7 linked regions of the Oryzias latipes genome follow. The protein of the gene in region 2 purifies or fractionates together with the protein of the main gene of each other region. This does not show direct contact. Links are inferred from orthologs where the notes say so. Each region holds a gene or a part of one and is shown on either strand. Other genes may lie near its edges. The genes, in order: ikbkg, map3k7, hsp90ab1, card11, ubl carboxyl-terminal hydrolase 18, interleukin-1 receptor-associated kinase 1 and ripk1.

Evidence for each region.
Region 1: the proteins of map3k7 (region 2) and ikbkg purify together in Homo sapiens (affinity purification with western blotting; 8 studies listed by BioGRID and IntAct, with this or other methods). This does not show direct contact. The link is inferred for Oryzias latipes from reciprocal best matches to the Homo sapiens genes MAP3K7 and IKBKG.
Region 3: the proteins of map3k7 (region 2) and hsp90ab1 purify together in Homo sapiens (affinity purification with mass spectrometry; 3 studies listed by BioGRID and IntAct, with this or other methods). This does not show direct contact. The link is inferred for Oryzias latipes from reciprocal best matches to the Homo sapiens genes MAP3K7 and HSP90AB1.
Region 4: the proteins of map3k7 (region 2) and card11 purify together in Homo sapiens (affinity purification with western blotting; 3 studies listed by BioGRID). This does not show direct contact. The link is inferred for Oryzias latipes from reciprocal best matches to the Homo sapiens genes MAP3K7 and CARD11.
Region 5: the proteins of map3k7 (region 2) and ubl carboxyl-terminal hydrolase 18 purify together in Homo sapiens (affinity purification with western blotting; 4 studies listed by BioGRID, with this or other methods). This does not show direct contact. The link is inferred for Oryzias latipes from reciprocal best matches to the Homo sapiens genes MAP3K7 and USP18.
Region 6: the proteins of map3k7 (region 2) and interleukin-1 receptor-associated kinase 1 purify together in Homo sapiens (affinity purification with western blotting; 5 studies listed by BioGRID). This does not show direct contact. The link is inferred for Oryzias latipes from reciprocal best matches to the Homo sapiens genes MAP3K7 and IRAK1.
Region 7: the proteins of map3k7 (region 2) and ripk1 purify together in Homo sapiens (affinity purification with western blotting; 5 studies listed by BioGRID, with this or other methods). This does not show direct contact. The link is inferred for Oryzias latipes from reciprocal best matches to the Homo sapiens genes MAP3K7 and RIPK1.

The regions. Positions count from the first base shown.
Region 1 is NC_019865.2:4,851,536-4,855,494, forward strand, and holds the start of ikbkg (NF-kappa-B essential modulator), read right to left. Parts: upstream 2,801-3,959; 5' UTR 2,451-2,800; intron 1,958-2,450; 5' UTR 1,956-1,957; coding exon 1,817-1,955; intron 244-1,816; coding exon 1-243. UniProt on the Homo sapiens protein: Regulatory subunit of the IKK core complex which phosphorylates inhibitors of NF-kappa-B thus leading to the dissociation of the inhibitor/NF-kappa-B complex and ultimately the degradation of the inhibitor.
Region 2 is NC_019882.2:20,585,333-20,588,832, reverse strand, and holds part of map3k7 (mitogen-activated protein kinase kinase kinase 7), read left to right. Parts: intron 1-2,225; coding exon 2,226-2,364; intron 2,365-3,500. UniProt on the Homo sapiens protein: Serine/threonine kinase which acts as an essential component of the MAP kinase signal transduction pathway. Plays an important role in the cascades of cellular responses evoked by changes in the environment.
Region 3 is NC_019882.2:5,881,900-5,886,144, forward strand, and holds the start of hsp90ab1 (heat shock protein HSP 90-beta), read left to right. Parts: upstream 1-1,445; coding exon 1,446-1,595; intron 1,596-1,676; coding exon 1,677-1,883; intron 1,884-1,986; coding exon 1,987-2,146; intron 2,147-2,234; coding exon 2,235-2,368; intron 2,369-2,449; coding exon 2,450-2,752; intron 2,753-2,822; coding exon 2,823-2,988; intron 2,989-3,068; coding exon 3,069-3,259; intron 3,260-3,448; coding exon 3,449-3,596; intron 3,597-3,675; coding exon 3,676-3,944; intron 3,945-4,031; exon of another isoform or gene 4,032-4,058; intron 4,059-4,245. UniProt on the Homo sapiens protein: Molecular chaperone that promotes the maturation, structural maintenance and proper regulation of specific target proteins involved for instance in cell cycle control and signal transduction. Undergoes a functional cycle linked to its ATPase activity.
Region 4 is NC_019866.2:18,997,846-19,001,345, forward strand, and holds part of card11 (caspase recruitment domain-containing protein 11), read right to left. Parts: intron 2,466-3,500; coding exon 2,222-2,465; intron 2,106-2,221; coding exon 2,030-2,105; intron 1,835-2,029; coding exon 1,739-1,834; intron 1,656-1,738; coding exon 1,538-1,655; intron 1-1,537. UniProt on the Homo sapiens protein: Adapter protein that plays a key role in adaptive immune response by transducing the activation of NF-kappa-B downstream of T-cell receptor (TCR) and B-cell receptor (BCR) engagement.
Region 5 is NC_019881.2:17,754,356-17,758,514, forward strand, and holds the start of ubl carboxyl-terminal hydrolase 18, read right to left. Parts: upstream 2,801-4,159; 5' UTR 2,121-2,800; coding exon 2,069-2,120; intron 1,561-2,068; coding exon 1,464-1,560; intron 1,221-1,463; coding exon 1,078-1,220; intron 1,009-1,077; coding exon 929-1,008; intron 852-928; coding exon 717-851; intron 1-716. Other genes in the region: pex26 (peroxisome assembly protein 26), read right to left, coding at 3,690-3,796, 3,899-4,039, 4,127-4,159. UniProt on the Homo sapiens protein: Interferon-induced ISG15-specific protease that plays a crucial role for maintaining a proper balance of ISG15-conjugated proteins in cells. Regulates protein ISGylation by efficiently cleaving ISG15 conjugates linked via isopeptide bonds.
Region 6 is NC_019865.2:30,205,417-30,209,438, reverse strand, and holds the start of interleukin-1 receptor-associated kinase 1, read right to left. Parts: upstream 2,801-4,022; 5' UTR 2,618-2,800; coding exon 2,506-2,617; intron 1-2,505.
Region 7 is NC_019875.2:26,469,443-26,472,576, reverse strand, and holds part of ripk1 (receptor-interacting serine/threonine-protein kinase 1), read left to right. Parts: intron 1-121; coding exon 122-259; intron 260-338; coding exon 339-570; intron 571-686; coding exon 687-836; intron 837-2,793; coding exon 2,794-2,870; intron 2,871-3,015; coding exon 3,016-3,100; intron 3,101-3,134. UniProt on the Homo sapiens protein: Serine-threonine kinase which is a key regulator of TNF-mediated apoptosis, necroptosis and inflammatory pathways.

The sequences.
Region 1 (3,959 bases), on a different chromosome or scaffold from region 2:
CCGGGCGTCCCTGCAGGTCTTCAGTCTGACTTGAGCTGCAGGACAGACCGGAAGACGGGGAGGAGCCTGGTCCGTTCGCCGTGACCTTCAGCGAGTGGTTTTCCTGCGCCAGCCTCTCCACGAGGGCCCTGGCCTCCTGGAAGCGACAGCTCAAAAACTCTCGCTCGTCTCTGGTTCTTTGCTGCCATCCCTCCATCTCTTCACAGCGCAGGCGGAGAGCTTGGTTGCTTCTCCGCAGTGCCTCTGGAGGAGCAAACATAAAGTACGACTTTCGTCTTTCGGTCTCACACAGAAGTTTATCCAAACTTTGCTGCCCTGACTCTGTTCTTATGCTGTGATACTATTCACAGATAGAAGAGACAGCATTTACCACATCTGAATGTGTATTTACATCTGCTAGACATGAAACCAACTTCCTGTGTGCGTTCAGGGCAGCTTGAAGTATCCGTCACTCCATTTTAACCAAAAATATCCTTTAAAGACCCACTCCGATCATCTTTTGATCTATTTTTAAACACGTTCTCAGTGGTCTTTTTGATATAATGCGGCCACTTTTAGCCATAATCTAAAAAGACTGCCATTTTCAAGGACATAATTCCTGCAGAGTGGCAGCGATTCATCAAAAATTGACCTCTGAGTTGTGGGCGGGACTGTTGACGTGGAGTAAGCCTGCCCCAACTTCCCGTCACTCACCTGTTTACCCGTTTTCCTGCTAGCTTACAGCCCCTCACACCCCCAACCTAACACTACCGGAGTGACAAAAATGCTGAGAAATATTGGAGCTATCCATCCGTCCAGTTTAGATCCAGATTCCAGCTCAGACGAGGAAAACAAAGACGCACATGGATCTATTTGTCTGCAAGTGGATGCATCAGAATGGAGCGGAGCAGGAAGTTTGTGGCCCGCCAATCATATTTTCTACATCACAAATAAGCTCTTTGTCAAACAGCATTTCACCACACACTCCTGATTCACAACAATTTGAATAAAGAAATACCCTGCAAGCTAAATTTTCTAAGACATCTGAGAAGATGATAAAAAAAAAAAAAAAAAAAAAAATTTTTAATTTTCATCAGAGTGGGTCTATAAATCAATCAAACTTTAATTATAAAGCACTTTTCATATAAAAGTATAACACAAAGTGATTTACATTAAAACAAAACAAAATAAATAACATAAAACAACAATTAACATAAAAAGAAAAATAATAATAAAAAAGAAGTATGAAGACAATATGTTGGAAACGCTAATAATTGGAACCTCCCTTTCTGTGAACAGCCGCATAACCAGCCAAATGCAGCATCACAGGCGGGGACCGCTCCACCACAGCTAAGCAGTGATGCAGGTTCCCATCCAGAGCCGCAGTGGCTGAAGAGCAGCCGATCCAGAGGGAGAGGTCCAAACTATGAAGGAGCTAAATAATTAATTATTTCTGTTTTTCTGATTTTTTTCCGTTTACAAAACAGGCAAATATGGTAAATAACTAAAATAGTGTAAAAGATGGTTAAACCACATATAGATTTGTTTTGAATTAAGCTTCTCTTATTTTCTGCTTTTACGTGTATAAAATATGTCAGTTAAAAAGCTGAGTTAACTAAAGCAGAAACTAAAATATATATACCACAATGTTTTAAGAAGTCAGCCTCTGATTATAAGCGAGCTCCACCCCGCCGGACCTAAAATGTATTTAACTTTAAAAAAAAAAAAAAATATGTTCCTGTCATGGATGAGAAATTGAAAAGAAAAGAAAGCGTAAACAGGGTCAGATGAAGAATCCTCGTTAAAAGTTGTGTGAGCGAAGCCGTGGGTGCGATACCTCTGAGCTGCTGGTTGTCACACAGTAATCTGGACACCACCTCATGACCAGCAAGCTCCGGTGGGACCCTGAGGGCCCCGCCACTGTCCTCCCCTGACATGTCCCACTGCATGGGGCCGTCGGGCTGCGGCTGGACCATTCCTGCAGGATTACAGTGGATTATCATCACACACCTGTCAAAGTCAACATCCAGTCCGTAAGCGTGGAAACAGGTTTGAGCCCTGACATGTGCACCAGGACCAGACTTTCACTTTCATTTTGATTCTTTTACTCATTTTTGTTGAAAATATGAAGCAGATCTGCTCCTTAAAGGCTTCAGCCTCTCTGCTAAAAAAAAAAAAAAAAAAACATGTGGACGTCATCCATGAACATGACTGCAGGTAAGGAAAACATTACGTCATCGTCATCACACCTTAGGCCGGGATAAAAGACACATTGGGTTTAAAATAGCTTTAAAAATGAAAGTAAAGAGAACGCAGTTGGATTTTAACAGAAAAAATAAATAAAATCAACGACCTAATTCCAAACTAGACTGATGTTTTTTTGGTTTTTGGACATCCGTGACTGTCTCTGAACAGTTTGGACGCATACATACTAGTTTATTTTAACAAAACAAGGACAGGATCTCTCTTACCTTAACTTCTTTTTCCCTTTGTTGTCCAGAATAACACACATCCAGAGTTTTTACAGTCCCCCCCTCAAACCTGCGCCAGGAAGGAAGCTCGACGAGTCCAGAAGCACTATTTTGGCTAATTTTTAGCTAGCTAGGCTAATGCGGCAGTGAAGGGCTGGGAAAGCGGCCTCGCTCCTCGGCTGTCATAAACACAGCTTCACGCTGGCAGACTATCGAACCTTAAAGGCACATTCTGTGTGGATGTAGGAGGCCTTTTCTTCCTTTGCTTCACGTTCGCTACGGGGTTTTCGTCCGAGCCGAGGCGACTGTTGTTAGCTCGGAAAATTCCTCGAATATTTTAACCCTGAGTTTTGCCTTTCAGGTGTCGGTTCTCCGGTTTGTAGATCTGAAAGGGGAACGGTTTGAGTATCTTATTTTAAGCACGAACAAGTGTGTAAAGTTTTCCTGCTGAATTAGGTTTTATAAATATAAGATTTTCTACTTTATTTTAATTGATAAAGCTTGCAAATATATTACAGTGAAATATAAAAAAATAATAAAACAGTGAAAGTTGAGTGGGATCACAAAACATTGCAAACTCAGCAAAGTCAAAGTCAGGTTTAGGGGGGGGGGGTGATGATACCAAAAAAAAAGAAAAAGCAGAAAAATCAAAGAAGAAGCAAATTGCAGAAACTGCAACACTTGTTCAAGTATCAGGGATGACTGGTTGACACACACAAAGAAACAGACACTTGATGAAAGAAACTGCTTGAATAAATCAATGCAATAAACATCCTAAAACTTCAATAATGAAGGGAACCAGACAACAGAACAGATAAAATGAAGAGGGTCTGCCACGAATCGACAACGGGATTAAAAACTTGAACCTGGAGCGCTTTGGACCCATGACTGAGACAATAATTTGATAGTATGCACTTTGAAAAAGCCCCAATTAGTAAAAATAGCCAATTTTTAAAATCAATACTAATGTTTTTCTGTTCTCACATGAGCTGCCGCCTCTGACCTGCACCAAAAGCCAGCCGTGTGCTAATGACACATGGGGAGTAACACAAACACAACAATGTGGGGATCCAGCTCATGTTCCCACAGGATTCAGTTCTTTAGGAAAACTGGATTTAAATGGATTCATCTAGATAGGGAGTGGGCAGTCGGGAGGGTTGAGGGCACTCTATGTTTTATAATTTCAGTTTTAATTGTTTGAAGTCAGAAAAGCACTTTGTGTTACTCTAGTAGGAAAAGTGCTGTATACAGAATGTTAAATTTGATGTTGAAAACAAAATAATCAGAATTTGCATCTGTTTATACAATATTGTATTATTTAACATGTTAGCTTGCAGCAGCACACCGTACATTAGCAGTTTGAACTGAAGAGACAGCCATAAAGAAGTGTTTACATCTTGGAGGAATTTTAAAAAAAAATTGGGCACCAAAATTAGGCCGCGTCAAAAGTTGCCTGTCAGGTAAAGCGCAGGGAATCTAAATTCCGGAAGATCCCCTTTCCTTCTTCCG
Region 2 (3,500 bases):
GTTTAATTCGTTTTATGCATACACAAGCCGCGTCAGAGTACAAGCCGCGCAAATGTTAGGCGATATTGTCATCCTGACCGATCACGGACAGCATCCCAGAGTGAGTGCAATTCATTAGCACATTGGGGGTGGTGCCAACTTAGCCTCTGGCTCATGTATTTGAGTGTATCGACATCTGCCAAACAGCATGGACCTCTATTCTGTTCACAAGTTCCTCAGTTATGGTGTTTTTATTTCATTTTTTTTTTACTTATTGACAATCTACGTATCATACATAAAATTACAAACAGTAACCATATAATCAACATTACATCCCTCAGTTATGATGAGGAAATTTACATCCGCGATTCCACATTTCCCATGAGTCTTAGGGGCTAAAGGCGGGGCCAATGCCCGGCTCGCCATTCTGTTGTACGTGTTTAAGAATGAGCAAGTATCAGCAGTGCATGGAGGGGTGAACGGGAAAAGCTCTCCTTCCGCTTGTGTCGCAGCAGCGTTATGGGAGTAACAGGGCTGGTTAAAAAACACACCGGTAAAATACAGCAGCGGCGACTGAAAAGCGCGCGCCTCAGCGCGATACGCGCGCCTCAGTGCGGCGCGTGCGTCAGAATTCAGAAGCCTCTGCGCTCCGCTCCCGCCCCGCGCGCTCCTTGTCTCCCCTTCCTATCTACTCCGACACCTCTGGCCAGGGCGGCTTCAGGGAGGAGCACTTCATCCCCGTTGCGCCGGTGGATGGAGCAAATAGTTTCTGTGCAAAGCAATCGGACTTAATACTATACGTTTTGTGTATGGGGGGCGGATGCGTTGTTACGTGTGGGAGCCATCAGACTGCCATCGGCCCCGCAGCTCAATCAGCAGGAGAAGATGTCTCCAGCTCACACGGAGGCTGTGAGTTTTTCAAAGCAAAATTCCGCTTTTACGGTTTCCTTAGAAACCGTAAATGGAGTGTAAATTCACTCCATGCGCTGTTCTCTCCGTCACGCAGCAAACCGGCTTTTCCAAACCCGTTGGTGACGGTGGACTTTTTCACGCTGCTTTTAACGATTGCTTTTAACTTGAAAGCTTCATCATATTGTAGCGGCGATCTGGTGCACGTTGGGTCTAATGGCACCAAAGGATTCTGGGATGCGGCCGGGCATGCGTGTTTCATTTTGTTGAACCATGACTGAAGTGTCTAAGACCTGAAGTCAACTCCATGCTGTTTGGCTGCTTAGAGGTGTGTTGAATATAAATGCCTTGTGCTTGGTGTTAGACAAAGAATTCAAACTATTCACTGAGTTCGAAAGTACGTACATGGCTGCCGCTAATTAAATCCATAAATTAGTCGCGTCACTGAATAAGCCGCAGGGCTGTAAGCGCAGGAAAAAAGAAGCGGCTTGTAGTCCGGAAATTACGGTAGTTTTTTTTTTTCTTTTCAGTTTTAGAAAGGGCCTGCTGAACATAATAGTTTTGTGTTTTTATCTGAGAAGTTTTTTTTTACTGCTTTTCAAATATAGGTTAGAGGATTTAGATAATGGAAATTGTTTTAATATCGCCTTCATTTTTATAACTGTGTTTTGTGTTGTTTTTTTGTGTGCCAAACATGCAAACAAACAGAGCAAAGACCTGAAATGTCCATGTCTCTGTGGTCTAAGTTGCAGTAAACTGATGCTGATTGGTTTAGATTCTGCTCTCACACACCAGCAGTCAGAGAGGATCACTTTGAAGGAGTTTGCTCGTGAAAGTATTTCATGTTTCACTAAGCAGTCCTTTAAACGCTCTGAAGTGGGATAAAAGCTCTGAGCTGCTCTGCTGATCAAATGTTTTGCCTCGTCTCCACTGAAAAGTCCGGTCCGGTATTTTGAGCTTTTCCGTTGTAAACTGGACCCACTAAACAGTACTGAACCGTACCTCTTGGGGAAACTGAACGGGTGAGCTTGAGGAATTGTTGTTGCTTTTCTAGTCCTCGTGCTGCAATGACATGCTAGCAGTCTGCACCACGCATGCGCCGTGAAAACAAACCGATCAGTGGAAGTGAGGTGGAAACACTCACCAGAATTAACTGGACGGTACAATACCACTCCTTACCGGACCTGACCGTGCTCGGTGGAAACGAGGCTTTTGATGCATTTTGGTCGAATTGTGAGGAACGTTTGCAAAAGTCTGTGGTGACCTTTGACCCAGCCTGGTTCTGCTGGACTCCTGCTGTGTGTACCCGGTGTGGTGACTGTGTTTCTTGTCCACAGTGCTGCATGGTGCTGAACCCCTCCCCTGTTACACTGCCTCCCATGCCATGAGTTGGTGTTTACAGTGCTCCCAGGGCGTGGCCTATCTCCATGGCATGAAACCAAAGGCTCTCATTCACAGGGACCTCAAGCCACCAAAGTACGCTCCTCCTCCTCTTGCTCTTCCTCGCGTCACACACTCCCCCGTCTCCTGCTGTACCTCACTGTACTCCACTGTTTTGTATGTTTTCTCATTACACCTCATCATGACCTTTCACTAGAATTCAGCACCAAAATTTACAGATTTTTACGACTGGAATAAAACTTCAGTTTATCTGCTTCCTATCCTTAAAATGCTGGAATTTTATTGGTTTCAAGTATCAAAAGAGTTTTAAAAATTCCTAATTATTCCAACACAGATCACAAAGTAAGGAGTGTTGTATCAGACAGCCGCTGTAGACGTTGAATATCTTTACTCTCAGTGAGATGATGCCAAAAATGCCAGTAGTTGTCCGTTTTCTTTTATTGTTCTCTTCAGACTACGGCTGACCGAGCAATATTTAATAAGAAAATGTTGAGAATTTGGTCTCTGCAAGTCACTTTGAATCAGTATTAAAAGGGGTTTGTTTTTCTGCAATGTGCACCCCCTCTAGAAAATCTGGTTTTGTTTTCCTTTAATTGTACAGGGGACATAAAAATGTAAACACACCACTATTAGAATATTTATTCTAATTTTTATTCTAAAAAGAAGAAAATTTCACTTGTTGGTCCAGACGATGACATCAACTCATTGACATGTGTCTGGCATAGTGCTCCTCATGGGTGGGGTGGGGTGCAGGGGGGCTTTTTTTTTTTTTTACCTCAGATAGGGATCAAACAAAGGCATGGGCCTTATAATGGCAACAGAATTTGACCCTTTTTTTAGGTAGGTCCTCGTTGGGTTAGACGGGTCATTTCTTCTGGTCCGAAACACGTCTGCTGTCATCAGGAGTCTTCTAAAATATTTCTGTTAAGCACCTGTGTCGTAAGTGTCAGACAGTCATCTAAGTGATCAATATTTTCTATTGACTAGACAAAGTATCGTCACACCATCCAGCCCTGCTGTAGAGTATAAAAGTACTACTTCTGAATAAACTTGGTACTACAAATAAATTACCTAGGCTGAATGTTGGTGGACCTTTAAAAATGATTAGAAAGCCAGTGTTTCTAATCCAGAGTCACCACTGCTGATTCAGATAATCCCAGTGATCCCGTCTTTGATAATCCATTGCAATCTTTTTAGGAGGAGTGACTGAT
Region 3 (4,245 bases), about 15 Mb from region 2:
TTCGGTATTCTTCCATGTGATTACAAAGACCTAGAGTGTTCGTTGATTCCGTAAAAAATACAGCGTGCTTTTAATTTTTGACATCCAGATATAGAGATTCTATACAAATACTTTTTTTTTTCAACAAAATTTTGACACATTTTTAGAATTTAGACAATTACTAAACGGAAGCTCGTAGATGTAGTTTTTGCTGTATCTTAAATAACCGCTAGATGGCAGCAAAAATCAAATACGATTGATTTTATTCTTAGTTTTGTTTTTAATATAATAAATTTATAACGTTTAGATTTTACCTCCTTGGCCAATCAAAATATTGTGCATGCTATTCCACTATAACTTTTTATCTGTTGATATAAATAATTACATATTTTTCTGGAGGAGCACAGTTAGTTCGAGAAGGAGCGCCGCGGAGGGATCTTGTCCTGCACTGAAACTCATGAGCATATAGATTCGGCGTGCAGCTCCAGAATCCTCCTTTCTTTTTCCTGCGTCAGTGAGCGGCAGGGATAGCACTTTTGTTGCATTTTATTCAAGAAAAGCCAACATAAGAAACAAGGTATGTCTTGGTAATTCACTTCATATTGAGGGAAACCAAACTTTAAATGGTTTATTATTATTCTACACCGAATGTTGAGTCATTTAACGGGTTTTTTTGTTATTTGATTTCGATTCACGTGGTTTGTTTAACCTTGATTCATCGATTAAAAGCATTTCTGACATAGCGGGTTTACTATTCTTAATTAGTAATGGGCTTTAGGTTAAATCTTGTACTAGTGACCGAAAATAAGTGGTGGGCTTTTGCCGCATCTTGTAGGCAGACAGAAGGTATGGAGATTTATTATTGTGAAGGTTGGTTGTACCTGACTGTTTAAAGAATAACATTACCATAGTTTAACGAGCGATTGACGTGTCTTTGTGTATATTTTGCCAACGAAGGATTCTAGATGGACTACTAGTTTAGAATCTTACACCCAGAGTGTGTACATCATGTACATCTTGCATAACCGACACAGGAGTGCTCGTGGTTTTTCGGGGTGATGGTAGTTTTGGGGGCTATTTTTTTGCAGTAAAGCTCCTGAGCGATAATCCAAAATCGTTCGATCTTGATATTCACGGAAGCTTCGGGTTTTTTCGGTTTTAGTCGGCACGTGCTTGCAGCGTCCATTGTCCATGCCTCGCCGCCATGTTTCGCTGCACTTCCGCCCGTATGTTGTAATCTGATGGCAGGGATCCGACTCTGAACCGGTTTCTGAATTGTGGTAGTTTATGGTTTAAAATTATTCATTAAAAAAAATTAAACTAAAAACTACAATCTTAGTAAAATAATTGGCAGTTTATTACCGTATTTTGCGTATTTGTAAGATGTTGTGCTTTTATTTTGGCGTTTCCTGTTGGTTCATCCCATTATTAGTCTGACGCTGTTTGTTGCAAACCTGTTATTTCTTATGCAGATGCCTGAAGAAATGCACCAAGAGGAGGAGGCTGAGACCTTTGCCTTCCAGGCAGAGATTGCTCAGCTGATGTCCCTGATCATCAACACCTTTTATTCCAACAAAGAGATCTTCCTCAGGGAGCTGATCTCCAATGCCTCTGATGTAAGTCTGCAGCAGTTTACGTAACATCGTATCACCTCTGTGTCAATACAGTGAAATATCTTGACGCTGAATTATTTTTAGGCTCTGGACAAAATCCGCTATGAAAGCTTAACTGATCCCTCCAAGCTGGACAGCGGCAAGGATCTGAAAATCGACATCATCCCCAACAAGGCTGACCGCACCTTGACCATTGTTGACACTGGAATTGGCATGACCAAGGCTGACCTTATCAACAACCTGGGTACCATTGCAAAGTCTGGGACAAAGGCTTTCATGGAAGCCCTTCAGGTATTAATATAAACAGGCATAAAGGGGAAAAATACATATACACATTTATATATTTTTTTAGCAGAAGTGAATACAAATTGTGGAACTTTGCCGTTTTCTTCAGGCTGGAGCCGACATCTCCATGATTGGTCAGTTCGGTGTGGGATTTTACTCTGCCTACCTCGTCGCTGAGAGGGTGGTGGTTATCACCAAGCACAACGACGATGAACAGTACGCCTGGGAGTCCTCTGCTGGGGGATCCTTTACCGTCAAGGTCGACAGTGGTATGGATCTTCAAATATTATAATTATGGTGCAACAAACTAAAATCTGACTGTGAAACATTTGTTAACCTCTACAACACTGTTCTCAGGCGAGCCCATTGGCCGTGGAACAAAGATCATCCTGCACCTTAAAGAAGACCAAACGGAGTACATTGAGGAGAAGAGGGTCAAAGAGATCGTGAAGAAGCATTCTCAGTTCATCGGCTACCCCATCACCCTCTTTGTAAGTGATTTGTTTGTTTTTTTACAAACATATTTCTCACTAATAGAAGCTTATGTGGAGTTGTACGTGGTTTATCTATAGGTGGAGAAAGAACGTGACAAGGAGATCAGTGATGATGAGGCAGAGGAGGAAAAAGAAGAGAAGGAGACCAAGGAGGAAGGTGAGGACAAGCCAAAGATTGAGGATGTGGGCTCAGATGATGAAGAAGACGCTAAAGACAAGGGCAAGAAGAAGAAGAAGATCAAGGAGAAGTACATTGACCAGGAAGAGCTGAATAAGACCAAGCCCATCTGGACCAGAAACCCTGATGACATCACGAGTGAGGAGTACGGCGAGTTCTACAAGAGCCTCACAAACGACTGGGAGGATCACCTCGCTGTGAAGGTAAAATAGAGGTTTGGGTGTCTTCTGATCGGCTGATGGAACCTCGTGCTGACGTGTGTTTCTCTTTTAGCACTTTTCAGTGGAAGGTCAGCTGGAATTCAGGGCTCTGCTCTTTGTTCCTCGTCGTGCACCTTTTGACCTCTTTGAGAACAAGAAGAAGAAGAACAACATCAAGCTGTACGTCAGGAGAGTCTTCATCATGGACAACTGTGAAGAGCTCATCCCAGAGTACCTGAGTAAGTTTTAAATCTCTGTTCCACCGGATCTGAAAGGAAATGCACAGCAGCTTTAAAACGTTTTTGTTTGTTTACAACAGACTTCATCCGTGGAGTGGTGGACTCTGAAGACCTGCCCCTCAACATTTCAAGAGAAATGCTGCAGCAGAGCAAGATCTTGAAAGTAATCCGCAAAAACATTGTCAAGAAGTGCCTGGAGCTGTTCGGAGAGCTGGCAGAAGACAAAGAAAACTACAAGAAATTCTATGAAGGTTTCTCAAAGAACATCAAGGTATCTCAAACATATCTGAAGCTTTTCTAAATGATGCCTATAAACTGATGGATTTTTTTTTTCCTGTAAACTTTTAAGGTGTGAAAATAAATCGACACATATTTAGCGTGAAGCCTTGGAATTGGGCAACGCTTGCTGCATTACCCAGAATTTAGTTGAGTAAATCGATCACAACTTTTATGTTCACAGCTCGGCATCCATGAGGATTCTCAGAACCGTAAGAAGCTGTCTGAGCTGCTGCGCTACCACAGCTCCCAGTCTGGAGATGAAATGACTTCCCTCACAGAGTACCTTTCTCGCATGAAGGAGAACCAGAAATCCATTTACTACATCACTGGTAGGTTTGGCTTCCAGTCCATATGTTCTTTTGTTGATTCTTTTGGCACGACTTAAGTTTTTGTTTTTTGCCTCTGAAGGTGAAAGCAAGGACCAGGTTGCCAACTCTGCTTTCGTGGAGCGCGTCCGCAAGCGTGGCTTCGAGGTCCTGTACATGACCGAGCCCATCGACGAGTACTGTGTTCAGCAGCTGAAGGAGTTTGATGGCAAGAACCTGGTTTCTGTCACCAAAGAGGGCTTGGAGCTGCCAGAGGATGAGGAGGAAAAGAAGAAGATGGAGGATGACAAGGCCAAGTTTGAGAACCTCTGCAAGCTCATGAAAGAGATTCTGGACAAGAAAGTAGAGAAGGTTGGTCTCAAATAAGAAACTGTGCTTTTGCTCCTCATTTCTTCACCATCATTTCCTTAACTTCAGTGGTGTTTTGTTTGGAAACAGGTTTCCTAGTGGTAACTACTTATATTGGTGAGTTCATACAGAGTAGAAGTGGCCTGTAGAGTTTCTAGCGTTGCCTGATATTTGAGTTGAAAGGGTTTGGTTTTGCAAGAGCCTGATAAGTCTGACAGCGACGTGAGTTCTAACAATGTTTGTCTTTTGAGGCTGTGTCTAACACTCGATGAAATCAGCATCACACAAACGGCCTGAACCGCAT
Region 4 (3,500 bases), on a different chromosome or scaffold from region 2:
TTGGTTTCATTTGTTATAACTTGAGGTTTTATTTTTTTCATACATTTTGCTCTTTTGTTATTTCGTTTGGTAATCAAAGCAATGGTAAAGACATTACAGTCTACCAGTAAATGTAATTTTTTTAACATTTCAAACACTCTTGCTCTGTTTACTTCAAAAGACATTTTTGCTTTGCTTTCATCTTATTCTTCAAACAGCTTTCTTCTACCTCCACCGAGACTTCAACCCCCTTCTAGCTCTCACATTTTATTTTTAGAAATCTTTCATTTTCTATGTGTGATCCTCTGGTTTTTTAGAGCACAAGTCTTAACTCCCACACAAACAAAGCTTTCATTTTTTCTTTGTCATCTAAAACTTTTTCTGCCTCCTGGAGAGATCCATCTATTTTTCACTAATTTGATAAGAGTTTTTCTCCTTTGTCTTTCTAATGAATTCATCAGCCTACAGAGCATCAGCCATGAATTAATAAAACAATAACACAGCTTAACAAAAGCTTAACATAAATATTTCTAGTCAGCCTTCAGAAAAATGTTATATGGTAGATGTAAGTAATACTGATGTTACAAAATAAAAACAGATTTTCTGAGAACTTTAATCAAACTAGGAAGTGGCTACTTCTGCAGTTCCTCAAAGAACCACCAGAGGCAGGTTTCAAAACCTTCCAGTAAACCACTGTGTTAAATAAGGTTCAGAGCAGAATAACACACAAAAAATACACTTGTGCTCTGCCTGGTCAAAAAACACTTCTTAATATTTGGTGCTTTTATTTGCAGCTCTAGGGGCAGCAGGGAGGGAGGGGATTATCTTTCAATTATAAGAAATCAAGGCAGATTGGGTGATTGGGTGAAGGTTGCAGTCTTGGGTGGCCTAAAAAAAACAGAATCTCTATGGTCTTTCTTGATTGACAGTTCTCCAATTGTTGAGTGAATAGGAGTTACTCTGTATGTTCATGCCACTTTTTTAGCCCTTGTGCTATCCTAGGCACTTTAACATTGGAAGTTGGGTCATCTAGACCCCTGAACTTTTTTCTTCAATGATTTGTAAACTTCACTGGTGTCCATGGATTACATGAAATCCTCTTCACCGTTATCCACCTTTGTCATGGTAGGGAGAACACGTCAATGTAAGGGTGGGGTCATAGGATAGCACAAGGGTTAGGCATTCATGTTCATCATTTAGAATCCTACAGGTAACATCAGAGACAATTGGTTCCGTTAATATATGAATTAGTCTATAAATACAACATAGTTGCCACCTTAAAATAAATTATTAAAGAAATCTTGACCATCAAACAGTAAGAAGAAGAATATATTTATTTCCCTTTAAGCTTCTCTCAGTTTGACATAAATATCTGAATATCTGAATTTATGCTAGGCTTTGTGGTTCCAGACTTTTGATTTTGATTTTTTTATGTCCTAGTAGGTCCTAAACAGGAATGCAATGATTTATCTGAGAATCGTGGCATCCCTAGTCCTAAAATCAAACCAAGGTCCGTCATTCCCCTTACATCCATGAAAAGCATTGTTTCTATGCTCACCTTCAGGCCTGAGCATCTCCAGTTCTTGTCTTGGTAGTAATGAGCTGCCAGAGTTGACAATCCTCACGCGTTCATTGCTGTTCATTCGTTTGTATTTGATGTCCACCCTGCCGACGAACTAGAAACCCAAGAAACCCACAAGAAATGGCACATCAGGGCTCAGATTGACTCATGAGAGTGGGATTGGTTTTCTTTAAATACCTGCAGAATCTGACTGAGGAAAATGCTCGCTCTGGACAAGCGTGGACTGGCTTTGGGATCGAGAGACGAGCTTGTTTCTTCTGGCGCTAAAGTGTTCTAGACAAACATAAAGAATTAATAGAAAGAATATCAGAATCTTTAAGCTGCAAAAGGTAAAGAAGACACAGTGTTTGACCCAAATCGAAGCTAACTTACTAAGTGTCTGCTGAAATCAAATAGCATTGATATGAAAAACTATACAATTGTTTTGTGTAATATGTAGCTTGAATATAAAATCAAGTTTTCACTTACTCTGCTATTGTCAATTTCTTCTTTCCCACTTCGACACACCAACTTTTGAATCTTCACCAGCAGCAGCTGCTGTGCTCTGTACACACCCATTCATACCAAGAGAAAAGTCTTAACAAAACCAAAACTCCTTTTGTCCATTATAAAACATCCTCCTGCATGAGAAAGAACATTAAACAAACAGTTGCAAAGTACCTTGAGTTGCTGGGAATGGTGCCACGCTCGGCCAGGTCAGAGCCACTAAATGGCTCCACACGAGCACAAAGCCACTGGCAGAGGCCCTGGTGCCTGGTATCCAGCACGTGCACAACTTCATCGCAGCGCACGCTTAAAGAGCAGCAGTCGGATTGTCCGGAGATGTTGAGGTTTACTCGGATGTAGAAAGAGTCGCCAGAAGCTAATTTACCATCTGCTAGATCCCTCTGGAGACGGCGATATGCTGGAGAGCAGAAACACAGCATTAACGCACTTTTAAAACAAGACAGACCAGAAGACTAGATTTGACTGGAAGTTCAGAAAAAAATAAATGGTTTGATTTGCTTTCACACTAAAGTTTAGAAAACTGAATAAGTCTAGATGGAATCAAAATATCACGCAGTTTAAGTTAAACTATACATCCTATTAAAGTATTTTTTAAACCCATTTCCTGTCTATATTATCCTCATCCACAAACTAGCCATTTATCCAACTGTAGTGATCCACACTCCTTCATATCTTAGCTGTGGATCATTTTATTTTCGCCTAAAATTTGAAGCCACTTTTGTGATTTCAATAAGTTTACTTCCTCTCTTTAACCCACAGAACAGTCCATTGTATCTTTACTGTGGTGACCACATCAGGGTTCACTTGCAAATTAACAGAGATCCGTATTTCCTGTTTTCTGTGACACAGTTCAAAGATGCACTCCGATCATCTTTTGATCTATTTTCCAACTGTTCCCAGTGGTCTTTTCATTTTGATTATGCCACTTTTAGCCAAAAACAAAAAACTTGTCTTGTTTTCTAGGACATAATTCTGCAAACATTAGAAATTTACCATTGCGTTGTGGGCAGGAAAAATGGCATGGAGCAACCCCGCCCCCTTCCCTTCCCCATTACTGAGAGCTCTCTGTTTACATGCGCTCCTGCTAGCTTACAGCCCCAACATAACATTACCGGTGCAACAAAAATGGTAAGCAGTATTGGAGCTATGCAGCCGTACAGTTTTGAGCCAGATTCCAGCTCAGACAAGGAAAACAAAGACAAACATGTAAGTGATTGTCTACAAGTGGATGCATCAGAACGAAGCTTATGACCCATCCAGCATATTTTCTACGACACAAATAGGCTCTGCTCATTTTCATCTGCCCCCTATTGACATAAAATTGAAAAAAGAAATACTCAGAAATGCCATTTTAAGCTTATTTTATATATATATATATATACACACATACACATACATACATATGTGTATATATGATGATAAGAGAAATGCC
Region 5 (4,159 bases), on a different chromosome or scaffold from region 2:
TTCTGCATCCACTTAATTTCTTTTGGGGTCACTGGAGCCAACCAAGCCACTGTTGGTTGAAAGTGGGGTACACCCTGAGCAGGTCTTCAGTCTGCTGCAGGGCCATGCAATCCATCAATTTAGAGATACCAATTAACCTATGAAGCATGTTTTCCGAGCATGGGAGTAAAACAGAGTCTGGAGGAAAAAATAAATAAATAAAATCAAACATGCATAGAGAACAGTCCCTTTTTTAAGTTTTCTTTGTCTTTTATTTTACTCTTTTTTTTGGTTTTTTTGTTTGTTTTTGGTTTCCAATCTGTTCATTTGTTTCCTTTCATGAAGAGTACCATAGTACATTAACATATTTATACACAAACATAACTACACACACATCTTCATGACAGGAAAGGAGCAGTCGGAAGAATAAAATCCTAATTTTATTTCTCCCCTAAATCAAATATTCAATTGAACAGAAGCTAAAGAAAATGTTGTGGGTTTTATTTTGTCATTAGGTGTGGATTTTTGAGAGCCATCACAGTTGATGGGGGGCAGTCACAGCAGGATTTAGGAGGGCTCTTTTTTCCCATCCCTATTACCGGTCTTGACAGGGAAAACATGCAAACTCCACACAGAGAGGTATCAAGGGCCTTGAAGTGCTAACCACTACACCACTGTGCATCCTGGATTTTAAAAAATGTGGAATTTAAAAGGTCTGAGGAACAATTTGACCCCACCAGAGTGTTGTGATCTTCTTTTATGTGTAGCGGCAGGCTGAGCTGGTAGCTTTCCAGGGTTTTGATGGAGTTGCACTGCAGACACTGCAGATGGGTCTCCACTGAAATCTTGTACAAATCCTGGATTTCTAAAGCCTGGGGATCAAAAGAGCAACCAGTAAAGAAGAAATAGCACAACTTTAAAAGTGATGAGCAGGGTGTTAAAGACCAACCAGATGTCTGTCATCTATCTGCTGCTGCATCAGGTTCAGAATGGAGAGGAAAACCTCGTCAGCATCGTGCTGTGTGTCAACTGTAAATCAATTGTGTTACAAGCTGTCGTCAATAATCTCACTTTGAGATGTGGTGTGGAGGCCTTTACGTCTAATGCAGTATCTATCCAGACAGTGGAGGAAGTCCCGATGTGGAGCAGATTGAGTGAGGTCGCCCCGCATCGCCGTGAGAACTTTCTTCAGCTCCAGGGGAATGCTCCGACTGTCAGATCTCACAACAGCTGGTTCCAACCTTGTGAAATTCACAAGCCCTAATTTATCTGTTTGTTTGTTTTTTTAGCACCTAAGAAACAAAGACTTGTTTCCAGGTGGACACCACTGCATTTTTCAAATATTTGAGCAGGTTTTATGAGGTCAAACAGTCCCACAAACCAATACGTGGGAACCGAAACGTCTTATGAGATGTAAAACCTTCATTTTTCAAACAATGCTTGAGGTATTAGTATTTCACATGGATGGTAACTACTTTACTTACCTTTCTAGAAGTTCTAGTAGTTCCCAGGTTGCAGAGAAGGTCTGCAGCAAAGTGTTTACACAACAGGACAAATGGTAGTTGGCAAGGCCTCTCATTCCTTAAAAAATGGAACAGCAAAAATTAAACATGATAGTTTATAAAAAATGTTATAAAATATAATATAAAAAAGAATTTCTTATCACACAGGATGAAGGTTTAGTGATTGCAGTAAAAAGGTCCCCAAAAAAACCTAATGAGTAAATTTCTACTTTTCTTCAGATTTTCTTTTATTAGTTTCAGGTTGTTTTTTATTTTATTTTAGTTTCATTTAAAAAGCAGTATACCTGAGGTATATTTTATTAAGTATACGTGATTATAGCATGTATACACTATGTACATGTAGTGTAGGAAGTATACTAACTGAATACTTCTTCAGACCATATATAAAACAATATATGTATATTATAAAAAGTAATGTAGTAAAATCAGCCTTTTTGGTGTAATTTGAGCGCAAATTATAATTTTATTTTTTAAAGTTGCTTATTTGTTTAATCCTAAATAAAAATTCAACTACTTTGTTTATGAAAAGAAAAAGAAAAACTTCGTTGACAACAAATGTAACTTACTGAGCTGAGTGTTCCACAGCGTTGGAAAAATCCTCCAAATCCCATAAGACATTGCGTTTTAAACGAAGTCGAGTAGTTTAACCCGGCGTCGGGTTATTTTGGTAGAATAAATCTTTCTTGTCGAGTTTTTCCGTGATATTGACGTTTCTGCTGGAGTCAAAGCACTGTCAGCTGAGTCTTCATCACATCATCATCCTCGGCATCGCTTTCGTTTAACCCGCCTCTGCGCGTAAAACGAAACTTAACAGCTCCATTTATAAAGTAAGCAAATTTGTAAAACGTGGCATATATCCTATAGGAAGGTCTATAACCACAAATCAGCTGTTAAGTGTTCTGCATCCTGTTAAGAGACATATAAGTTAAAAAAAATAAAAAAAGATGGGATTTACTGCACATGCGCAGATAAAATCGAACTTTATTTATAAAAAAAACTCGTTTTAAACATTGCGTATCTCTAAGCACTTAATATTGTTGCTTTAGGTATATTTCCATTTAAAACTGTTGGAACAGCAAAAAATATTGCCCCGTGACTTCACTAAAGAACGCCTTTTTTTAATTTAACATTACAAAATAAATATTTTTTTATGAAATTTTCTGATCCTCCCAGGATTTGCTTTTATAAATCAAAACATCACACTTTCACTGTCATTTTCACCTAAGGGACCCACTCTGATGAAAATGGTGCTTTTGAAGTTTTTGTTCTTGATGCATTTTTCTGATAACAGAGTATAAATAACGAAAATTAAGCTCAAAATTGTATTTCTGAGTATTTCTTTAATTAAATTGTGAATCTGCAGTTGACAACAAAATTCAGTTTGAAAAAGATCGTATAACATTGAAAATATGATGGGCAGGCTACAAGATCCCTGCCTGATGCATTCACTTGCAGACAAATATAATCCATGCAAGTCTTCGTTTTCCTTGTCCAAGCTGGTATCTGGCTCAGAGCCCATTAATGTTAGGTTGGAGGTGTCCTTACCACTTGGGTGTGAGGAGCTGTTAGCTAGTGGGAGAGCATGTAAACATATGGATGATGGGAAATGGGGGTAGGCTTGCATCCAAAAAGTCCTTCAAACAACTCAGAGGCTTGAACTACTACCACCTTTTTACTTTGGCTAAAAATGGCAAAAATAATTACGGGGGGGGGGGGGGGGGGGGGGGGGGCTTTGAAAATAGATCAAAAGATGATTGGAGTGGGTCCTTAAAAATAATGGACACAAGAAAATAATTGTTAATAGTTTATTTATGGCTACAATTTTAGAGGTATAAAGATTTTATTAAAAATATAACACCTAAAAGGTAATCAGTGCTCTGCAATATATTATAGCTATTGTTTTTTCAAAATTCTACATTTTAACATAAATACAGTCTACCTCCTGTTCACCTCCCTGGGTTTTACTTCAAGATTCTAACTAAATGATCAATGGATCTCTTTTAAATAAGCTGTTGACTAATAATCAAGCAATAGAATCTATAACTGCTCGTTTGTAAAGCACTTCTATAAAATCATTATTTTTAATTTATAAACGAAATTAAACAAATGTTAGAGACACAGAATTAAAGTAAAGACCTTCCATTAAACACAATCAAATTAGATCAATTCAACTAAATGTTTCCACAATTATTCTTTTTGACTGAGAGTCTGATAATAAGGTCCAAACATGGTTCTCCACATCTGTTTAAAGAGCTGACAAAGTTTGGAAATCCACATAAATGAGGACGGCGCAGCTGTAAAAAAAAATAAAAACAAGAAAGGCATTCATTTATTTCCAATCAACAGGGTATAAAAAAGTCAACAGTAACATACTGAGGAGGAAGAGTTTCTCAAACCTGGATCCAGTCTGCTGAAGAGCATGTAGAGGATAACAGCTATCAGGAAAAGTCTCCGGAGAGGGAATAAGCCAGAACCGGCTGTCAAGATTTTTCTGTATAAAAACCTGAGCATAGCTTCGAGTTTATGGATTATAGCATCTGCAAACCACAATTAGGAAGATCTAGTCATTATTTCTGCACAAGAAATTGAGCACAATGCACATTGATATGACTGAAATGTCAAACCTTTAACTGAGTTAGGATGCGCAGAAATCTCAG
Region 6 (4,022 bases), on a different chromosome or scaffold from region 2:
GCTGAAAAATGTCAACTCCAATGGAGGAAATGGAAGCAATATTCATCCCGCTCAGAACTTAAAACTCAAAACTATGTTTTGTTGGACCCCACTTGTTCAACCTTTGGTATTTTGTTTTTGTGCATTTTATTATTATTAGTTATTTTTATCTTTTATTTTTTACTTTACTTGATTGTGGTTTCTTATTGTTACTTGGTTGTATTTTAAAAGTGCAAAACGTAAAATAAAAAGTTAAAATAAATAAATAAATATTGAAATTTTGAAAAATGCATTGTATATTTGAAAAAAAAAATTATTTCAAAAGTGAAGAAACACTGAAAAAACTATCAACCTAAAACTGTAAAAAAAAGAATTTGTAATCGCTGCTGTTTGTATTTTAAATGTTGGTTTTCTCATTTCTCACTATCAGTCCTAAGTTTACAGTCTCAATTTAGAGTTTTAGAGGTTTGTTTACATCATTGTGGCGACATCGTTTCCACTGTAGAGTGGCGTCTGCCTGCCTTGTCCCTCCTCTGATGTGGTGTACAGTAGTAATGACGCCCTCCAACGGGTTGGCACAAAAAACTGATCTTTTTTCGTCTCAACACAATAAAACAGGATAGTTCCTGCAGTAACAAAAAACTCCCTAAATAATGTAAAGCATGTAAAAACAGGGAGATAACAAAAAACTCAGTCCAGTCTACTGTGAGAAACTGAAAGCAGTGATTGCAGAGTTGATGAAAGAGTTCTAGTGTTTTCCCAGAGGGGTTCTGTTTCTGATGCTGGACGGCCCCAAGGTGGAGTCGCATATATATATATGGAGTATATATTTCTGTGCAGATAATAGATTTATAGCAGACCCCAAAACAACACAGGGATCAGCTCAAAACAATTGCTGTTCGTCTTGAATACACTTTTTGTGGATTGCCTCATGTAATGCATTAAACAGGTTGTTAATTCTGTGTATTTTTGTCGACTTTTAGCTTCTTTCTTCTGTCGTTTGGGTGTCATTAACGGGCCTATATCATGCTATATAATTTTTTGAGCTTTTTAGTTTATTATAATGTTTGTTCCTCACGAAAAAAAAGTGGTATTTTGATCAATTCATGCATTTATGAGTACAGTGATCCCTCGCTAATGCGGTATGCGGTTTACTTTTCACGGTTTCACGTTTCTAAAGTACTTTTATTTGTGACACAAATGCTTGAGCCTGTAAAATGGTTTGTTCTTTCTTTTCAATGTATAATAGAGTATTTAATTGTATAATAATTGTAAAAAAAATATAAAGGTTTCTACTTCACGGATTTTGCCTATCACGGGTTCTTTTTGGAACGTAACCCACGCGAATAACAAGGGTTTACTGTATTCCTCTCAAAACCTGCTCTCTGAGCACCAGCCCCTGACAATCCACAAAAACAATTCTCTCCTTGCGATGTTACAAAGTGAAGAACAGCCCCTTCCAGGAAGAGTCTGAGCTGTCACCAGGCTAACACACACGCCCACTTTCTCCTTGCGTCTGGCGCTCAGTGTGTTTAAACAGTTGTGTGCAGTGAAGAGGAGGTTCGATTGGATGTTCTGCTTGTCAATCAAGTTTACGATGCGGATAATTACGAATAATTACTAAAAAATACATATTTCACAACATATAATTTTTTTGATGGCCCTCAATCTACCATGACATCCTTCGTGATGGATCGTCCTAATGAGCCCCCTTGTGCTAGACGGAGGTGCTGAAGAAATGGACTGGCTCGCCCGTTCCCCAGACCTGAATCCAACTGGAACATCACGTCTCCGTCCATCCACCAACGCCAGGTTGCTCCACAGCCGGCCCAGGAGTTGGTGGAAGATTTGGTCCAGATGTGGGAGAAGATCCCCTGGGAGACCATCCTCCGATTCATACGGATAAGTGGAGGTCACACCCACTACTGAGACGCATTTTGACTTGTTTCAAATTGAAGTTGGATCAGCCTGTAGAGGTTTTCCACTTTATTTTTCAGTATGATTCCACCTCCACAGGCTACATTTAATTCTCATTAACAGTTTCAGTTTTTGTGTGGTATTTCATTCCTTCAGGTATAGGGTGTGTTTGTGTATCCCCCCCCAGCAGCTTCCAGATTGTAGTAATGTTACTCCAAAAAACCTTTTGAAGGTACATTGATGTTCCAGAGACAGAGGTTTGGTCTGGGGGCGAACAGGGAATGATGGTGATACTGTTGGCGTTGGTTTTTTTTAGGACTGGGTCGCACGCGCCTGCTGCGTGTCACGTGTCTGACTTCCTGAAATGAGCGCGACGACCAGAAACAACAACAAACAACTGCGAGGGCGTCTCGTTTTTTTAGACATCAATGTAAACACGGAATCCTGCTGTACATTCACCGTTTTGAAGAAACATTACGTGAGGAACACCTGACGACGTCCCAAGTCAGTCACGTGACAACAGCAGTACGCGTGTTACGTGAAGCCCACCTGTGGCGCCCTTAACTGTTAACAAATAAGCACAAAGTTTAAATTCTGGTTCTGACTCACCAAAGCGGGTCCAGTCGAGGTCCGACAGCCCGTCCATGAGCCGGCAGAACTCCCATAATACAGAGGAGGGCAGTTTGTGGAGGAACTCCCCCCGCAGTGACCCTCCCGACATGTTTTATTCCACTGAGCTCGGTTCTTGGGGATGGTGGGTAAAAAAGTTACGCCAGAACCACAGCCACGTGGGTTGCATCGGTGCCGGTGCCGCCCGGAACACACCCAAGTTTCCCTTCAGTTCAGAAGTTCTGATTCAGTGAACTTCCGGTCGCAGGGCTTTTGTCTGTCAATGAGTTATATCCAATGACTTTTATCGCTAGAGGAGACATCACGTGATTCCTCATGGGAGGAGAGCATCGCCATCTTGGTGAGGTCAAGTCACTGCTGCAGTGCAAGCATGTGAACACAGTTTTTGCAACATACCAGTTCATTGTGCGGGTTTCAACTGACAAAATCGGAGAAATGAGTGAAGGAGGAAGGCATAACATTTCACAGGTAAGGACTATAATTTTTTCCTTTTAATGCTGCAGGGGCTTCATTAATAGTACACATGTTGACATGCATGATGCTGCAGGGCTGTTATCAACATGCTGCATAATGTACGTATAATTTTCTGTTGACATAAATTTAAACTTTATTGTGTTAAACCTGTATACAGTATACTAGGAGTATTCTATTATAGTAACATAGATTTATACATTTCTGACTCAGTGACTGAACTTTTCTTGCAGGTTTCCAATGAATTCAGACTTAAGGGAAAGTGGACCTTAATAGCTATCAAAAGAGCTAACCCAGATGGATCACTGTGGTACCAACTAACAATACAGTCTGGATATGTTCAAAACATTTTGTGGAAACACATTTTGATGAGAGGCCAGACTGTTTGCTTGAAACCAGACACCATACCATCTGTGTTACACAAGTTCATCACTCACATAAATCAGTAAATCTATTTTTTGTCTTTGGTTTTTCTTTTCTTTTAGGGTAAATCTATTGTTAACTTTTGGACTTTTTGTTGATGTACTATTTATTTATTTTATTTATTATTATTATTTATTGACTTATTATTGATTTATTATTATTATCATTATTAGTTATTTGCTTATTATTGATTTATTATTATTATTAATTGACTTATTATTTACTTATTGCTATTATGTATTATTTTTATTGACTCACTATTGATTTATTATGATCTATTATTATTATTATTGTTGTTCTTATCGAATTATTGTTGGGCCTTTCTAAATAATTTAAATTACATGTCAAAGAGGTCTAAAACTTCTAAATGCCTAAAATTATTTTTAGAAATTATTTGTAATAATTTCTTTACTTCAAGAAGTTCTGCAACTGTGCATTTTTCATTAAAGTTTGAGGTTTTAAGGTTGACTGTTTCTCTTATTTAACAGTAACAAATGATGTATACATACATATATTATGTATAATATATTATGTATTTATATATATGTATAAATATATATAAATGTATATTACATAAAAGCTACTTAGATGCCACCAAAAGC
Region 7 (3,134 bases), on a different chromosome or scaffold from region 2:
CATAATTGCATTTTCTGATATTGCAATAATGGCAAATGTTTGATTTATTGTGCAGGCTTAGTTTACTTAAATGATTCTGAAACCCAATAAACCTGGTTCACTCAGCGCTCCGTCTTCTTAGGTCAAGGTGCCCATTTCCATCAAAGGCAGAATCATCCTCGAGGTTCTGGAAGGGATGATATACCTTACAGAGAAACGTGTCATTCACAAGGACATCAAGCCAGAAAACATCTTAGTGGATAAGGATTTTCACATCAAGGTAATGAAAAAAACTTAAGTCATAATAACGCCTAGCTTATTAATTCATTCATTTCCAGACACTAAATATTTCTTTTTAGATTGCAGACCTCGGCCTGGCCACCTGCCAAACATGGAGCAAACTCACAAAGGAGGAATCTCGCAGGAAAAGCCGTAGTGGACAGACATCCGGGGCTAGAGGTGCCGGCACGCTAAGCTACATGGCCCCGGAGCACCTGAGGAGCATCCACACCCCCTCCACTGAGAAGTCCGACGTTTACAGTTTTGGAATCGTAGTCTGGGTCATTCTAACGGGGGAGGAGCCATACGCCAGTGAGCTTTGAGATCCGTACACACGTTCAAAAGCTTTTTCCAGCATGAACGTTGAAGTTGCGGGTCCCCTGCTGCACCTTTTTATAAAACAAGCAACCGAAAATGTTTCTGTGCAGACGCGAGGAGTGAAGACCAAATAAGCCGGTGTGTTCGTGACGGAGACCGACCGGCAGAGGACCTCATTCCTGAAGACACACCTTCAGAGGTGGTTCAGCTTATGAAGCGGTGCTGGAGCGACAATCCAGAGGAGCGACCTTCATTTAAAGGCACGCGTCTCTTTGTGACAGACGCAACATGCAGTTGTTAAAACAGTGGAGTTAGTTTTTTTATGGCTCCAAAAGGATAGACGGACTTCTTGAAAGACACTACTCACAATAAGTTTGGGATATTGTTACTAACATGACTTGTTTTCCTATATCGTCACAATTTTGATGAAATATGTAAAAGTTCCCTATGATATTACTACTACCGTATTTTCCGGACTATAAGTCGCACCGGAGTATAAGTCGCACCAGCCCAAAAATGCATTATAAAGTAGAAAAAAACACAGATAAGTCGCACTGGACTATAAGTCGCATTTTAACTTTCACAACCTTATATGACACAATCAAAGCAGACTGTTTATCTAATAATTTCACAGTAATTTATTCTCATGCATACTTATTTATTTATTCCTTTCATGAAGCATCATTGGCCAACTAATACTCTGTTTTCATCCTGTATTTGTAGAAACAGTTTTTACTTTTATTGCATTTCTGAATCTATGAAATCATTGGAAAATAGAATATTATGTTGTTAGCCTTCAAGATCTTACTGTAAAAAAAAGTTTGCTGATTCTCTGAGTCACTTAACATCCTCTTAACACTTAACATACCTCATACAACAAATTGACCCAGGAACATCATCTCTGTTCCTCACAAATGCACATAACAGGAGGGTTAACAATGTATTTATTTCAATTTATTTCTAATATAAGTCGCTGCGCCGTATAAGTCGCACCCCTTGCCAAACTATGAAAAAAAGTGCGACTTATAGTCCGGAAAATACGGTACTAATAATAATAATAATACCATTTTCATTAGTTTTATATTTATTACCACAAATTAAGACCATAATAACAATGGCCCAGAATAACAAATATCAACTATTTCCACCATGACAGCTTGACAGTGACTCGTCACGAGCCTCATAATACGGTTCTGAGGAAAAGCCTTCCACTCCTTTACGAGTGCTACATCCAGTTCTGCCAGGTCACTGGGTGTGGAATACGATCGTCCCAGATGTGAGCGTTGGGGTTCAGGTCGAGGCTCATTGCTGGACAACCCATATGAGGACCTGCCACTTCCTTAAGTTGAACTGTGACAATTCTGGCACGATGTGGTGGAGCACCAGCAGCCATGAACAGAAATTTGGGGGGGTTGCAGGTAGAATTGGGGGATGATGGTGAGCTCTATGGTTTTGAGGTAATTACGTGCAATGACTAATGATGCTTGCTCAGACAGACTGATGCAGCTCCTCTATCATGTCGACCTCTGCGTATCGCTCACCTCACCCTCTCCAGCAACGCTGACGACCAGCAATTCTGTGTGAGGTGACCCGACACTCATGAGTGAACAGGGCAGCAGACCATTGCTGGATTGTCCAAGTCACATGGTCTCGCACTGCAAATGTTCACGGCGGTGTCTTGGTGTCAGTAGAGTCACCTGCAACAGTAGGCAGGTATTATAGTCAAGGCGGTGGAGCTGGTTGGGAATGGTTTGTCTGGAAACCCTAGTCCCCCCATCACATCTGGTAAATGGGCTTGCAGCTGTGCGGCGTTTGCTAAACCGTGTTGGAGGTCAGAGGTCCTTAGGTTCTGCTCATGGTTGCGGTCTGTCACTGGGTCTGTCCTGAACTCTGCCAGTAGTCTGCTGATGACACTTTGAGACAACCTCACCTGCAAAATCTGACCACCGACTACTAACCTGAATGCACGCTATGGCCAGGTGCCGCTGCTCGTTTGTTAAGTGACACTATGTGTTCATGGCTGTTTGAATGACCTCCTGACAAAAATCAGCTTTTTCTGTTTAAATAGATGCCCCATTGAAAAGGTTTTCCTTTTAGAATTGTTTGCTTTTGGTCCCTATGAGTAATCCACTGAGTTTTTCACAATATCCTTAACTTATTGTGAGTAGTGTAACTTCTCGCAATTACTCTAACTTTTCTTTTTATCTTTTTTTGCAGAAGCCTACGACATTTTCTGTCCTTTTTATGCCAAAAATCTGGAACCCCATATAGAGAACGATTTACAGGATCTGAAGGTGAATCCTTTGAGAGCAACCATTTAGGTTTAGCTTGAACAGAATTTATTTTTAACATTTAGTTTTTTTTTTTTTTTTAGTTTGGAGATCATCACAAGCAATTACTGCGTTAAATATATGAATGTATTTTCTTTTCTTTTTGCAGGAAAACTATGAGGGCCCAATGACACTTGTTGAGAAGATGAAATTACTGTCTGTGAGACATGACAGCTTTTTGACAAACGAGCAAGGTTGGTCTAAGTTTTATTCCAAACAAATCCTTGA